Oryctolagus cuniculus: one gene and its partner. The protein of the gene in region 1 binds, or shares a complex with, the protein of each later gene. Links are inferred from orthologs where the notes say so. Each region holds a gene or a part of one and is shown on either strand. Other genes may lie near its edges. The genes, in order: IREB2 and FBXL5.

Evidence for each region.
Region 2: the proteins of IREB2 (region 1) and FBXL5 are in contact, whole or in part, in a cryo-EM structure (PDB 6VCD), measured with the Homo sapiens proteins. The link is inferred for Oryctolagus cuniculus from reciprocal best matches to the Homo sapiens genes IREB2 and FBXL5. Residues at the interface, in NP_004127.2 of Homo sapiens: Asp89, Phe90, Ser129, Asn217, Val220, Glu221, Arg224, Arg228, Ala758, Gly759, Ser760, Arg763, Asn764, Thr777, Pro778, Arg779, Asn782, Ser783, Tyr784, Gly785, Ala786, Arg788; in NP_036293.1 of Homo sapiens: Asp656, Glu657, Tyr661, Cys662, Asp663, Asn664, Ile665, His669, Ala670, Asp671, Thr672, Ala673, Ser674, Gly675, Cys676, Gln677, Asn678, Leu679, Gln680, Cys687, Arg688, Ser689, Gly690, Glu691.

What each region holds. Positions count from the first base shown.
Region 1 is NC_091443.1:106,224,811-106,233,109, reverse strand, and holds part of IREB2 (iron-responsive element-binding protein 2), read right to left. Parts: intron 5,539-8,299; coding exon 5,373-5,538; intron 4,322-5,372; coding exon 4,184-4,321; intron 3,344-4,183; coding exon 3,125-3,343; intron 74-3,124; coding exon 4-73; intron 1-3. UniProt on the Homo sapiens protein: RNA-binding protein that binds to iron-responsive elements (IRES), which are stem-loop structures found in the 5'-UTR of ferritin, and delta aminolevulinic acid synthase mRNAs, and in the 3'-UTR of transferrin receptor mRNA.
Region 2 is NC_091433.1:10,672,770-10,681,068, forward strand, and holds part of FBXL5 (F-box/LRR-repeat protein 5), read right to left. Parts: intron 6,425-8,299; coding exon 6,238-6,424; intron 3,657-6,237; coding exon 3,474-3,656; intron 1-3,473.

The DNA of each region.
Region 1 (8,299 bases):
TACCTTGAAAAATTGAAGCCTCTCGCGATTTCTGCCAAATTCTACTTCTTGATTTTTTAATACTGTTTCAGGTCTGAAAAGAAGAGCTGTTGTTAAATTCACATCTTACAGAAAAGCCTTGTTTCTAAGTATTTCTCCTTCTGTGTATTAAGCACTTTTTTAAAGCCTTAGAACAATTTACCAGACTTCTCAGAATTAGGGTTTTTTTTTTTCCAACAAGGAAGTTGTGCTTTAAATAACTTCCCCGACAGGCATAGAAAGGAGTTACTATTTTACTAGGTACAACAAAGCAATGTCCACACCAGTGTCCAAAGCTATACTTAAAATGCATTATTATGAAAGACTTGGCTACAAGCTCAATAAATGGTATGTTTTGTTTTCCACTGCAATTAAAAAAAAAGGAGGGGCCTGTACATGCTTATTTAGCAGTTAGCTCCTACACGGTTACACTGGGAAACGGGTGTTGATTATTGACATGAGGCAGTACACCTGACCACATTTATGGCTTAAACAGCTTTTGGTGAAAATCTTTTATTCATCTCACCCAAAATGGAGGGCTCTTTTTTTATGTATCAATAATTTTCTTTAAATGGATTATAAATGCATTTTATGTTAATTATTTCAACTAAGAGACAACAATAACTCACCTCTAAGCAGTAAATATCATACCACCGTGGGGAAACTAATTTTACCTAATAGATATTTTTTAAAAATTATTTCAAACAGCATTTATTTATTCCACCCGCCAGCTGGAGATTAGACACTGACTAAACATCAATCTAACCTAAATTACACAGGTCCTCCAGGATCTGCAGTCATCTGTCAGTATTTTTAAAGAACAGGGACAGGGGCTGGTGCTGTGGCACAGCAGGTAAAGCTGCCGCCTGCAGTGCCAGCATCCCATTCGGGCGCCAGGTCAAGACCCGGCTGCTCCACTTCTGATCCAGCTCTCTGCTATGGCCTGGGAAAGCAGCAGAAGATGGCTCAAAGCCTTGGGCCCCTGAACTTGTGTGGGAGACCCTGAAAAGCTCCTGGCTCCTGGCTTCGGTTTGGCACAGCTCCGCCCACTGTGGCCAGTTGGGAAGTGAATCAGCAGATGAAAGATCTTTCTCTCTCTCTCTCTGCCTCTCCTTCTCTCTCTGTGTAACTCTTTCAGATAAATAAATAAATCTTTTTTTGAAAAAAAAAAAAAAAAAAAAAAACGCATTGCAGGACCGGTGCTGTGGCATAGCAGGAAAAGCCACCGCCTGCGGTGCTGGCATCCCATATGGGTGTAGGTTCAAGTCCCAGCAGTTCCACTTCTGATCCAGCTCTCTGCTATGGCCTGGGAAAGCAGTAGAAGATGACCCAAGTCTTTGGGACCCTGCACCTGCTAGGGAGACCTGGAAGAAGCTCCTGGCTTTGGGTCGGTGCAGCTCTGGCCGTTGCGGCCAGTTAGGGAGTGAACTGGAGAATGGAAGACACCTCTCTACCTCTCTCTCTCTCTCTCTCTCTCTCTCTCCCCTTCTCTGTGTAACTATTTCAAATAAATAATAAAAATAAAACTTAAAAAAAAAAAAAAAAAGGAATTCATTGCACATTGATGACTTGAAGCCACAGCACAGTGAGGTTCTTCTCAGGACCTCAGGGACACAGCTTTCTGGAGCCACTGGAGTGACTTCACCTTTCCACTGCACGACGCGACACAGGGCCAAACACGCAGTGCTGAACCGGCCTGCAAATCAGGCACTGAGTTCAAGTGTCAGATGTCATGCTCGCAACGTTCTAGCCCTCAACTTCTTGCCTGAACCTACAATTAACATTTTACAGAAGAACTAAAGAACACAAAAGAATTCTTTACTATGTCACACAGCCAAGAATTACAATACAATCGTTCTTAATTTAGAGGCAACACTGAGGGGAAATTTGATTGAATTTTAGAAATGAAAATATACAGTAACTCACTCATTCTCTGCAAGTTACAAAAAGGCAACTAAAGAATCAATTATTTTTAAATCAATAAATCTTCCTTTTCTGGAATTATTTTCCATACAAAAGACATTAACCACAAAAGCAACAGGCTGCTAACCACCAGTACAAACAGGTAGCAGGAATAAGGAGTGACAACACGAGCCTGTCACAATTTGAGAGCCAAGCACAGGGATTATATCGAGTTGCTAGAAAGAGCGAGCATAGGAGCTCACTGTAGCCCTGGCTTTATGAAATACTGGAGGAGAGGGCACTCGGGGCAGTAACGGAGACGCCGCTCGAGACACCGGCATCCCACACGGGAGTGCCTGGGTTTCAGTCCAGTTCTGCTCCCTATTCACACCCTAGAAGGCACCAAAAAATGGCTCAAATACTTGGGTACCTGATACCCAAGGGAAATCAAGATTGAGAACCAGCGTATGAATGACACAAATTCACGAAAATATAAAACCCAATTGAAAATGAGATCCTGTTTTCTGCCTGCATCAGTCATAGATACAAAATATATTCAGAGGCCGGCGCCGTGGCTCAATAGGCTAATCCTCCACCTTGCGGCGCCGGCACACCGGGTTCTAGTCCCGGTCAGGGCGCCGGATTCTGTCCCGGTTGCCCCTCTTCCAGGCCAGCTCTCTGCTGTGGCCAGGGAGTGCAGTGGAGGATGGCCCAGGTGCTTGGGCCCTGCACCCCATGGGAGACCAGGAAAAGCACCTGGATCCTGGCTCCTGCCATCGGATCAGCGCGGTGCGCCGGCTGCAGCGGCGGCCATTGGAGGGTGAACCAACGGCAAAGGAAGACCTTTCTCTCTGTCTCTCTCTCTCACTGTTCACTCTGCCTGTCAAAAAAAAAAAAAAATATATATATATTCAGATACATCTTAAGAAAGGTTTGCTTCCTAAGGAGCAGAAATCAAGAGTGGTAGACTATCATTTTATTTAAGTTTGCCTCTTTCAGAAACATAGGAGATACAGTGTAAGTGCAATCTAGCACATGAGTGTCAGGGCAATGAATGCACCAGGCATCAGGCAGGAAGGGGCTGATCTCCTCAAGAGAACACCGCCTGGCACTAACATGTCGGAGAGCACGTCTCCCACTCAGGCACCCCTGCCGAAGCGCAGAGCCCCCTGCACCAATGCGTATTAACAGAGCGCTCTCATACTCAGGCACTGGCTGCAGATGGAAAGGACACAGGATGGGCGTGTTCTCGATCTGCGAAGCGAAGGCTCCCGGGTGCCGGCCCAGGTCTGCAGAGTCGCAGGGCCCTCGGCAGGCAGTCTGGCCTCTGCAGGGTAGCTTCTTGGGCTGCGCTCTGAGTGGAGAGAGCTTGCCTGCCTTCTGCAGCTCACCACCTCCAGGATTCGGCGCGTTCTGTATTGCACTGGCATGCCGAAAAGGAGACAAAATAAAACCGTTTCAAGTGACGGAAAAGTTAGGTCTTCAAATAACATACACAACATAACTGGATGATGTCTGAAAGCTAATGTATAATTTAACAAAATCAAATCTCAGATTTAAAGAAAAAAACAAACAGAAACAGGTTAGTTTCATTTATGAAGATAAAAACATAATGCTACACATTCACACTCAATTAAATCATTCTCATGTTCTATCAGCCTCAATAACTTTTATCAAGAATTTGGAAATAAATTTTTTTTCTTTCATCTAACAAATTAGGAGATGCTCAGAGCTACAGTCTAAAAACACAAGGCAAAGTCTCCCGCAGGCTGTAACACACTGGAGTCTACCTCGGTCACTCCAGGAGTGTAAGAGAATGTGGATGCCCGGCAACAGAAATGCGTGTTCTCTAGTTTGGCCTTGGTCAAGGGGCTTCAGAAACAGAACAAACCGATCTCAGCGGAAGGAAAACAGAGCTGTAGTGAGCTCAGTGTTTCCAATCAATTAATTAAAGACATGCATGGCTCAAATCCTTATTCTCTCTGAAAGGTAAGTAGGTCAAAAAACAAAAAGGAAACAAAGACTGAACTCAGATGGTCACTCCAAAAAGCTTATATTTCCATCCAATATGGCAACAAAAATACACAAGGTGATAACAGCTCTATACTCAGTCTGTGTACAAGCAACCTGGCCAATGCACTGACTTTTGTCCTCTTGTATGCTAGCACACTTTCCTCTGGACAAACCACCTCTATCCTTCCCTCCACACCACACACTCTGGTTAACTTGCATGGCGTCTTCCCAAGCATCTGTCTTTAAGTACCATTTACTGAAGTCGATCTGTAAAGAATGGTCGACTGTGAGATCTGTCGGACAGGCAGGATGCACTTTCTTAGGGTCACCTCCAAGAGCCTTCACCGCCTCCCTCATAGCAGCAAAGTCCACCATAGCTGGGATTCCACTACAAAACAAAAAATGGTCAAATCATAATATGGTTTTAATTGCTTTTTATATTGTCTAATAAACAACTAACATACACATATTTTTGTAACAAGTATTTACCAAATGCCTTCAATGTGCTAGACACCAATGAAACAAGGCCAAGTACCACATAGCTCTGGCTCTCAAGGAATCTGTAGCGAAGGCATAGCAATGCTTACAGAATAAGTACTGAGATAGTACTATACACCAGGAACCCAGAGCAGGGGCACACAAATCAGATTTGGTGGGCACGTGAAGGGAATGTTCTACCTAACTCTTAGGACCCTTTAAAACTTAGGCCAAGGCTAACTCTTACGGTGATTAATTCCAGGCAGTCTTTCAGGCTATTGTAAAGACTTGGGATTTTCTTTTAAGTCTGATGGAAGCCAACTGGTGCATGGAGGAATGATAAGGCCCGAATAATATTTTTAACTAAGCCACCCCATCTACTATGTAAAAGACAGACTGCAGATTGCAAGTGTGGAATCAAGACTACCAGACTACAGCAGCTGTCGTCCAGATAAGGAAGGGGCTAGGACCGGGTGACAGTGGTAGAGATGGTAGGAAATATTTGAACACAGACACATTTCAAAGGCAGCACTGACAGGATATGCTGACAGAATACGCAGTACTAAGCAAAGAGGAGCCAAGGCTAACTACTAGATTTTTGGCCTAAACCATTGGGAGGCAATGGTGCCGGTCAGTAGGACAGAGGGCTTAGAAAGGAACAGGTGACGTGGGCCGGGCAGTCAAGAAATCAAGTACTGGGTGGGTTGTCTGAGAAACCTATCAGCTATGTGGAGGTAACAAGCAGGCAATTAAGCAAAAATAAATAATAAATGGTTTAAGAATAAATGCTTTAAGGAATACATGTCTAGTTTCTACTGAACTGCTTCACTTTAGAAAGGGAAATTTTTAAAATTCATAAACCCATCTTCAAAATTAAAAAAAAAAAAAAAGCCATCCACCAAGGAGACTGATTTCTAATAAGGGAACAATGAAGATTCACTATGCAAAAAACTATCACTCACGTAAAATCTTGAAGAAGAACACGGGCTGGGAAAAAGGGCACTTCAACATTGCTTTGTTTGGTTTTCCAGTCTAAAATGTTCATAACATCTTCCTTTTTCATTAAAAAGCCATCACAATTTCGTACAGCAGCTTCCAACAGGACCCGTATTGAGTAAGGCAGAACATCTGATCCAAAAGAAAAGATGACTATTAGTGAGAGAACAGTCATACCTACATATTCTAAAAATCACAATAACAAAAAGATGCATTTTTCTCTCAAAAACACTCACTGCTCAGGTGAGTACACCTGGAATCCGACCCCACCCCTTGTAACAGCAGGCCTTCTGTAACTACTTCACCACACGTAAGGCAGAGAAGAAAACCTCCAAGGAACAGACGCTCTGATCTGGACCTATCGGCCTATGATCGTGAAAAATGAACAGCTGACATTCAGGGAAGACACAAAAAAACTGAAAAGCACACAATGTCAACTCAACACAATAATGAAAAAAACTCTTATTGTGGCAAAAAAAATGGTTATGCTGTCTAAATTCCATTAGGACGCTTGGGTGATTAAAATTCATTTCAGGGAACCTCATTCACTCTTGATTACTAGTTTAAGGGTATCAAGGAGACAGATTTTGCTATTTTTAAACTTTTAGTCCTATTTAATTCTCACATCAGATTCTGTCACAGTGTTTCCTCAGTACTTAAAGGGAAGACTGAGGGAATAAATCATGCTAGCTCACATTAAAGGAACGAAGGGTTCTACACACTGATAAGGAGTGATCGCCAGAATTCTGTCCTCAAGGGAAAAGCAGCATGATGGGGCCAGCGCTGTGGCATGGCAGGTAAAGCTGCCACCTGCAGTGCCGGCATCTCACATGGGCGCTGGTTCTAGTCCTGGCTGCTCCACTTCCGATCCAGCTCTCTGCTATGGCCTGGGAAAGCAGTAGATGATGGCCCAAGTCTTTGGGCCCCTGCACCCATGTGGGAGACCCAGAGGAAGCTCCTGGCTCCTGGCTTCAGATTGGCTCAGCTTTGACCACTGCAGCCATTTGGGGAGTGAACCAGCGGATGGAAGACCTCTCTTTCCCTTCCTTCTCTGCCTCTGCCTCTCTGTAACTCTGCCTTTCAAATAAATAAATAAATCTTTTTTAAAAAATCCTGTAAAGGACTTCCTTTATATATTAAAAAAAAATAAATAAAGCAGCATGAGCCATGTTCACAGTAGACCACCTTTCCTCAAGAAAGGAGGTTAAACACACACATGCAAAATAATTAAAGGGGCCAGCGCTGTGGCACAGTGGCACAGTGGTTACATAAAGCCACCACCAGCAGTGCCAGCGTCCCATATGGGCGCCAGTTCAGGTTCTGGCTGCTCTACTTCTGATCCAGCTCCCTGCTATGGCCCTGTGGGGCCTCTCCACCCACACAGAAGACCCAGATGGAGGCTCCAGGCTCCAGGCTCCAGGCTCCTGGCTCCAGGCTCTGGATCGGCCCAGCTCCAGCCATCACGGCAACCTGGGGAGGGAACCAGCAGATGGGAGATCTCTCTCCTCTCTATATACCTCTTAAAGCCGCCTTTCAAATAAATGAATAAATCTTTAAAAATAATAACAAAACATAAATTTAAAGTATACATTTACAGTGTTTTTTCCCAAGAGAACAATGCAAGGCTGATCTGAAGAACCCAGCATGTGTCCCACACAGCACTTCCGACTGGGCTCCTCAGTGAGATATACACTAAGGAAAAGAAGAAAGACTGAGAAAACAAACCACATAAAGTCGTTAGCACTGTTATTGTCCTATACGGTATAAGAAAGCAAGTAAGTATTTTTGTTACTATGGTTGGAGACAAGGGTTTCCTGAGGAATGATACACATGTACAAAATCAGAGTAGCTACGTTTAAAAAATTAACAATTTCAGTTTTTTCAATTGAAAACAAGGGTATGAACTCATGCTTTATTCTTCTCTTTCTAAAAACACACGTATTTCCTAGTTCTATCCACTGAACACACCCAAAACAATGACAACCTAACAGTAACAAACTCCTAGGGAAATCAGTTTATTGTTTGTAAATACTATTTCTCATCTAAAAAAGTCAAAAAGCTCTCAGGAGAAACGGCCAATTTCTATGTCTGGAGAAGAATGATACACAAATGAGCCCAGGACATCCTCTCTCAGTTACCAAAGACTAATGGGGACACTGCTGGGTCAAGGTGAGCATCCGCGACTGCTGACTGCAATTCACCGACACCCGTCAGACAGATTAACAGCCCTGAGTTCACACTGACTCTTAAAAACCCCTGCAACCATCACCAGTGAAGCTGCTAGGGCAACTTCCGAAAGGTGACAAAGTGAAAAATCATTACTGTCCTTTCCTGCTTTCAAATCACCAAGTAGTTAACTCAAAGTTCTTTGTTACAGATGAGCTAATAAAAATTCTAATAAACTTAGAATGTTATAATTAGAAAAACCACCAATGAGCAGCACCCTGTGAATGGATCTGGACAATGATCAGAGTACTACCATCAGAAGGTTCTGTGTGCATGGGGAACAGGTGAGGGCCATCAGGCTGCTAACAACCAGACTCACTGCCATCAGAGTGAGATACCATTCGTCTCCTCACACAACAGAAACAAGCAGCAACAAGGCCAGGGCCAGGGCACCTTTGTTCCACCAAGGGCCACTGGGTATTTGTGACATCGTTCACAGGCCAGCCATACAGCCTGCTATAGAGTTAGTGAATTCCAGGTCTCAGCTGCAGTTGCCTTGGGAGAACCAGGCGTTCGCCATCCTGGATTAGGACATGTTCTTGCAAAAGTAAACAAACAGTGCCCTTAAATACCGTGAGTCTCATCAAGACAGCAGCCTCAACCTTCAGTTACCAGGAGGTCTGAGGGAGCGTGGAACGCAGTGAAACCAGAAAGCAGCAACCTGCGA
Region 2 (8,299 bases), on another chromosome or scaffold:
AAAGAACTAGGACTATATATGGATTCAGTTAATACTACTAACAAATTATCAATAGTTCATATTTTCCCAAAGTAAATCCTTCTCTAAAACTGACAACAGAACTACAAAAATGTACATAGACTGCTATACCCTTACTATGTATTTATTCTCTGTATGCAATGTTTTCCAACTGTTATATTTTACAGAATAGACTTAGTGGTTGTAATCTTTTCTAGAAAAAGTAGTTATTAATGGCCCTACATGAAACTTCAGAAACCACTGAAAACAACCTAACCTTTTTCCCCTACTGTGGCTTCACCTGGCTCCTGAGACAGTCCCAATACAATGCTAGCTAGTAAACCAAAGCATATTGGACTCTAATTCAGAAGTAGGCAGGAATAGAACTCAAAGGGAAAGACTAAGGTAAAGCTAAACCATAAATAGAAATCCTGGAAAATATATTGCAACTAAACTACATTACTGTGAAAGACAATGCAGAATTAATGTATTTATTCTTAATACTACATCTAAAATAGGGATTCTCAACCTTAATATTACTGACATATCCGGCTAGAGTATTCTTTTTTTAAAAATACTTATTTGTTTATTTTTATCTACTTGAAAGACAGAGAGAGAGAGAGAGCGCGCGCGAGAGCGAGAGCGAGAGAAATAGCGATCTACTGATCTTCCATCTGCTGGTTTACCCTCCAAATGCCCAGAACAGCCGATGTTGAGGTAGGCCAAAGCCAGAAACCAGGACTCCATCCAAGTCTCCCATGAGGGTAGCAGGGGCCCAACCACTTGAGCCATCGTCCCATGACTCCCAAGATGCATTAGCAGGGAGCTGGATCAGAAGGACAGTAGTCAGGTCCAAGTGGCATGCTAAGCCACTATGCCACAACACTTGCCCTTGGCCAGAAATTCTTTGTTACAGGTTATTTTGTGGATTGTAGGGTGCTTAGCAGCAACCCTGGCCTTTACCCACTAGATGCCAGAATAAAACAATATGGGATGAACAAAAAATGTTTCCAAACATTTCAAATGTTGTGGGGAGGGAGGTGGGGGTGGCGCCGGTTAACCCCATATGGGCACCGGTTCTAGTCCTGGTTGCTCCTCTTTCAGTCCAGCTCTCTGCTGGGGCCCGGGAGGACAGTGGAAGATGGCCCAAGTGTTTGGGCCCCTGCACCCTCATGGGAGACCAGGAAGAAGCACCTGGCTCCTGGCTTCAGACTGGCGCAGCGCCAGCCGTAGCAGCCATTTGGGGAGTGAACCAACGGAAGGAAGACCTTTCTCTCTGTTTCTCTGTCTATAATTCTACCTGTCAAAAAAGAAAAAAATCAATTTGGACTGAAAACCACTCAAAACAAATCCCATATATAAAAACCATTTTTATTGGAACTCCTTGCTTAAATACATTTTTTTAAAAAGGCATATTAAAGTTTTGAGTGCATTCACTAATAGCACTATTACATTTGCATTCATATGTGAAGTCGTCTTCAATTAAGAACTCATAATTGGATACAACAAAAAAGTACTTGATGCATCTCTTATTTAACTGCTCACTCAATATTTCATTATCCTACAACTAACAGGAAAAGTTATTCTGCATAAAAAATAACGATTCTAATTATTTGGATCATATAAGTCTACCCAACACTCCAAATAGCTTAACTCAAAAATATTAAATATCTTTTTTTAAGATTTATTTATTTCTTTGAAAATCAGAGTTATACAGAGAGAGAAGGGGAGGCAGAGAGAGAGAATCTTCCATCTGCTGGTTCACTCCCCAATTGGCTGCAACAACTGGAGCTGTGCCGAACTGAAGCCAGGAGCTGGGAGCTTCTTCTAGGTCTCCCACACGGGTACAGGGGCCCAAGGACTTGGGCCATCTCCTACTGCTTTCCCAGGCCATAGCAGAGAGCTGGATTGGAAGTGGAGCAGCTGGGTCTCAAACTGGCACCCATATGAGATGCCGGCACTGCAGGCAGTGGCCTTACCAACTATGCCACAGCGCCTGCCCCTCTAACATTTTTAATTTTATATACTATTGGAACAAATAAGAACTTTTTAAAATATTCATAATTTGAATCAAACACAAAATGATGTGATAAACACATATTTCTGGGGCCAACACTGTGGCGTAGCAGATAAAGCAACCATATGGAGTGCTGGCATCCCACATGGCCACCAGTTCAGGTCCCGGCTGATTTACCTGGGAAAGCAGTGGAAGATGGCCCAAGTACTTGGACCCCTGCACCCATGTGGGAGACCGGAAAGAAGCTCCTGGCCACTGACAGGACGAGTTCATCTCTGGTGGTTGCAGCCATCTGGGAAGTAAGCCAGCAGATGAAAGATCTCTGTCCCTCCCTCCCTTTAACTCTGCCTTTAAAATAAATAAACAAACAAACCTTTTTTAAAAAAATATTTCCATGTTAAAATCTCACAAAATGGAGAACTATAAAAAAGTTAATGTAAATTTTTAAGTTAATATTCACCTAGAAAACACTTTTAATTCAGTGACAGGAGATGCCATGAGCTATGAGAATCCATGGTTGTAAAATATGCTCATGAAAAGAAAATGTTCTTTAACTATTCACATGTGTAAGTAACACACTACAATGAAATTAATGAGTTTGTGATATGAGAAATTACCCATCACAAAAAATGTTATAGACAAAAATAGATTATTTTGATTCACCACCAAGATAAGCCATAATGGTACCTCATCTTAAAATTTCATAGAATTCTCTATTTTTAAGATATTCAAAGGGCTGTCACTGTAGCACAAGAGGGTGAAGTCACTGTATACAGTGCCAGCATCCCAAATAGGTACCAGTTTGAGTCCCAGATGCTCCACTTCCGGGCCAGCTCCCTGCTAGTGTGCCTGGGAAAGCAGCAGAGGATGGCCCATGTGCTTGGGCCCTTGTACCCACATGGGAGATCAGGATGGAGCTCTTGGCTCCTGGCTTCAGTCTGGCCCAGGCCTGGCCACTGGGTCCATTTGGGGAGTGAACCAGTAGATGGTAGATCTTTCTCCCTCTCTAATTCTTTCAAATAAATAAATAAATCTTTTTTTAAAAAAAGATCTCAAATAATTTACTTAACTGTTCTGAAAATCAATTTTAAAAGTTTTATGAAAAATTCTAAACATAGTCAAATATAGAAAGAACTAATACAATGAATCTCCATGTACCCCATTACCTATCATGAACATTTATCAACATTTTGTCAATCTTTGCATTTCCTCCCCAGACTATTTTTCCTAGTTATTTTGAAGGAAACTGCAGACACCATATAATTTAGCCATGAACATTTTACCATTATTAGCTTTTCAAAAATGTATACCAAGAATTCATCACCTAACAATGAAATCCACTTTTTAGTCAACCTCTCAGTTTTCTTTCCTGATTCTGCTTACTAATGACTGCAAGTATTCACCTAGAAAAATACATCATAGTATTTTTTAAAAAAATTTAAAAGTCCCATTAACATACCTCTTGCCCAATGAACAGGGTAAAGATGTTTCCAAAGTGATCCGGTTTTTGCCAGCTGAGACCATTTCGTGCTTACTTGACTGCATCGACATAGTTCCTGAGGATTAAGATAACTGAAAATTGACAGCATTACCTCAGGAGGAAGATGGGTTATACCTGTGGAGTGTTCTGATACTTCTGCTTCTGAAATAAAAAAGAAAAAAATTATCAGTAAAGGCTTTAAGAACGCAACAAGAAATTACAACCACATTTCTATAAATAAAATCCAGTACCTGGAGTTAATTCCTTCCTGCTTGCAAGATGTGAACAGGAAGTAACATGTTTTACAGGTCCCATGAGGATGTTAAAATTGTTAAGAACCTGTAGGGTTAAACTATCATAGCCCAAATCATACTCCACCAGTGGGAGCTACAATAATGAATACACATTTGACTTCCTCTTACAAAAGCATTACAGCAAAAACAATACTCACTTTGTAGCATAAGTAGCATCATTTGGAAAAGGAACCAAACAGGTTACACAGCTTTAAATCAGTAAGTATATAGTAGGCCAGATTATGAGATCTCCAAGGCATTTTAATGACACCCACAAATCTCATATGTTCTATTCAGGCATTATGACTCCTGTTAGGACTTTCCACATGTTCCCTTTTTAATTTTCTTATTTCATATAGAAGGTCTGTGGTATCTAACTTCATTAACCTATACATAACTTACCTAAGTTATATACTAGTTGATACAATATAAATAGTTCTGATGCTGGTATACAATGAAAGGGACTCTTGTCAGCAACTACCAGAGAAACTAAGTCATTAGATGTATTTCTTACAATGTATTATTTCAGCAGCAATTTTTTGAAAGCAAATGAAAATACAGTACTAAATAAAAGATGTATACTAAATTCTACTACAAAGAATTTAAGAATCTTGTATATCATGTCTTCACAAAACGACTTAAATATAGAAATAGGATGATCAAATTGCTTTAGACTACCACTTTTAAAATGCCAAATATTTTAAACATAACACAGCTATAATTTGCTTTGAAGAAGAAAATTAAACATAATTAAGTGTGATGCTTTTAAATCTCATGTTATAATTACAATTAAACCAGATCTAACAGATCTTAGCTTGGTATATGAGGCACAAGCTGCATTTCAGAGTAAAGTATACAAACTTTATGGGCCTAATTACAGCTTAACTTACAATATTTTTGTTTCAACATGAGTTTAACCTACTTTATTATATAAAAACAAGAATAAAGGACTAATTTTAAAAAATTGTAGTCTATTTTAACAGGAAAACCATTGCTACCACCCATCAGGAAGTAAGGAAATTTTTACAAACCTGAGAATGCCAACTGTTTCTTTAATTATGTCTTAAAGGGCAAAACTATTAAAGATAAATAAGAATAAAAAATAAAGAGGTAGTCTGCTATGAAAAAAAAAGCAGGTATACTTTCAAAGTAACTGTATACAGAAAAGCTTTGTCATACTCACTCCCTTGAGTACTACTGGATATAAACATACAGAATGATACATGAAAAAGGGTAGAAATATAAGTAGTTTGCTCCTTGACTTATGATGAGGTTAGAGCACAGTAAACCTACTGAAAGTTGAAAATGTATTTAATTCACCTAATCTACCAAATATCATAGCTTAGCTGCACAATACATTGTGCTGTGTCAGCTTTTGCCTTTGTGACTTGCATGGCTGACTGGAAGCTATGGCTGCCACTGCCCAGCATCACTAGAGAGTATCATACCAAATACTGCCAGCCTGGGAAGAAACCAAAACAAAAAACGTGAAGTACAATATGCCTTCCACTTCTGCACCATCATATAGTCAAAAAAAATCATTAACTGAACAATTTTAAATTGGGGACCATCCATATGAATGATTTAGAAAATCAATGAAAAAAAGAAAAAAAAAGCCACTATGATCCATGGAATCCATAATGTTGGATTACACTATAAAAGTGCTCTGTTCATGGTGGTTTTCAATAACTTTGGTTGGCCAAATATTATTAATATTGTTTGCAAGCCAGCGCTGCGGCTCAATAGGCTAATCCTCCGCCTTGCAGCGCTGGCACACCGGGTTCTAGTCCCAGTCGGAACCCCAGTCGGGGCACCGGATTCTGTCCCGGTTGCCCCTCTTCCAGGCCAGCTCTCTGCTGTGGCCAGGGAGTGCAGTGGAGGATGGCCCAAGTCCTTGGGCCCTGCACCCACATGGGATACCAGGAGAAGCACCTGGCTCCTGCCTTTGGATCAGGCGGCCGCGGTAGCCATTGGAGGGTGAACCAACGACAAAAGGAAGACCTTTCTCTCTGTCTCTCTCTCTCACTGTCCACTCTGCCTGTCAAAAACAAAATATATATTGTTTGCATATATAAATTCATTCAAGAAACACTATACCGTTTATGACCCAAGTATATGAGATGATAAATCATAGACAACACTAAATTATAAAACAGAAACTACACAGATTGGACATTACACAATGTATACATGTACCAAAACATCATCACATGGCACACCATACATAGCACCATTTTTACACATTAAAATTTTTTAAATGAAATAGAAACTACAGTCCTCATTTAAATTTGTTAAGTGATTTAAAAGGCTTCAACTAACCACACTGTAAGCCTGAGTTAAATGATTCCTCAAACAAAATCTACAGTTCATATCAACAAGAGGTCAAAGGCCTTGAGCTAATAAAATGTTCTCTAACTAAAATGTTCTCTATCTACATATATCAATCCCACCTTTATCTGACTTTTCATCCACAGAATATTTAAAAAACTTCTGTCGTTCTTCAGCTTGATTCCATAGACTAAGTCCTCTAAGGAGTTCTGCAGTATCCTTCTGAGAGCAGTGTTGTGCAATCACTTTCTTTTTAATATCCTTAAGTTCTTCATAAGTAAAATATTCCATTAACATGGGCTGGAAAACCTAAATTAAACAGAATATTCATAAGGTAAGATAATTAATTTGTTTTGTTTTACTCTACACTCTTCATATTAGTAATGGCTCAAGTATATTATTATGACTGTATATTTCAGAGATAAAATTGCAGAAAATGTTGTCAAAAGGATCCTTTTCTCTGTGCTTTCTCCAGCTAAGTCAAACTCTAAGCAACTTGAAAGCATCAAGACCAGAGGATTCTCCTGCACTGAGTTTCATAAACAGGCATTTTTAGTGTTAGACACAGGTCAATTTACTGCCTTCTTGTACTGTAAAAACTGAACTCCACCTGTTGAAGTGAAATGGACACTATGAGAAACAGTGACTTGATCAGCTCTTGTCCTGACTGTTGATGTACAATGTAATACTTTATCCATTTTAGTATTTTCTCTTTGTTTTGTTCTAGTACTACTGGTTGAACTCTGTGATTAACACGCAATTATTCTTAGGTGTTTAAATTTTAACTGAAAAGTGATCCCTGTTAAATATAAGAGTGGGAATAAGAGAGGGAGCAGATGTACAATTTGGGACATGCTCAATCAGACTTGCCCCAAATGGTGGAGTTAGAATCATGCCAGGGGATCCCAATACAATCCCATCAAGGTGGCATGTACCAATGCCATCTCACTAGTCCAAGGGATCAATTTCAGTTCACAATTGATCACACTGATAGGTCTAAGAGTCCAAGGGATCACACAAACAAGACTAGTGTCTGCTAATACTAGCTGATGGAATCAAAAAGGGAGAGAACGATCCATCATGGGAAGCGGGATACACAGTAGACTCATAGAATGGCAGATGTCCTAAATAGCACTCTGGCCTCAGAATCAGCCCTTAAGGCATTTGGATCTGGCTGAAGAGCCCATGAGAGTATTTTAGGCATGGAAAGCCAAGACACCCTGGAAAAAAAAAAAAAAGAAGAAGAAGACCTAAATGGAAGATCTCTGCAAGTGAGATCCCAGTGGAAAGAAAGGGGCCATCAAAGAAGGAGGTACCTTTCTCTGAAGGGAAGAGAGAACTTCCACTTTGACTATGACCCTGTTGAATAAGATGAAGTCGGCGAACTCAAAAGGCTTCCATAGCCTTGGCAACTCATGACTAGAGCCTAGGGAGATTACTGATGCCATAAACAAGAGTGTCAATTTGTTAAGTCAACAACAGGAGTCACTGTGTACTTACTTCTCATGTGGGATCTGTCCTTAACGTGTTGTCCAATGTGAAGTAATGCTATAACTAGTACTGAAACAGTATTTTACAGTTTGTGTTTCTGTGTGGTTGCAAACTGATGAAATCTTTACTTAATATATACCGAATCGATCTTCTGTATATAAAGATAATTGAAAATGAAACTTGATGTGAATGGAATAGGAGAGGGAGCGGGAGACGGGAGGGATGTGAGTGGGAGGGAAATTATGGGGGGGGGAGAGCCATTGTAATCCATTAACTGTACTTTGAAAATTTATATTTACTAAATAAAAAATTAAAAAAAAAAAAACTGAACTCCACACAAGAACAACCTCCACCTCAAGTGAAAATGAAACTCAAGAGTAGTGAAACCATCAAAGTAAGAATTCTACTAAGATTCTGAACTATTCAATATTGTTTCTGGGTTTTGGAGATGTTTCCTCAAATCACTATTTTACCACAGGGACTCCTAGATAATCATTTATGGAAAACTTCAGTGAAACAAATGAGAGGTAGAAACAAAGTTTTCTATTTTTTTTTTTTTTTTAGTTTCACAGATATTTATTTTTTATTTTATGCATTTATTTGAGAGATAAAAACAGACTTATGTCTCATCCATTGGTTCATTCCCTAAATGCCTGCAACAGTCAGGTCTGGGCCAGACCAAAGCCAGGGACC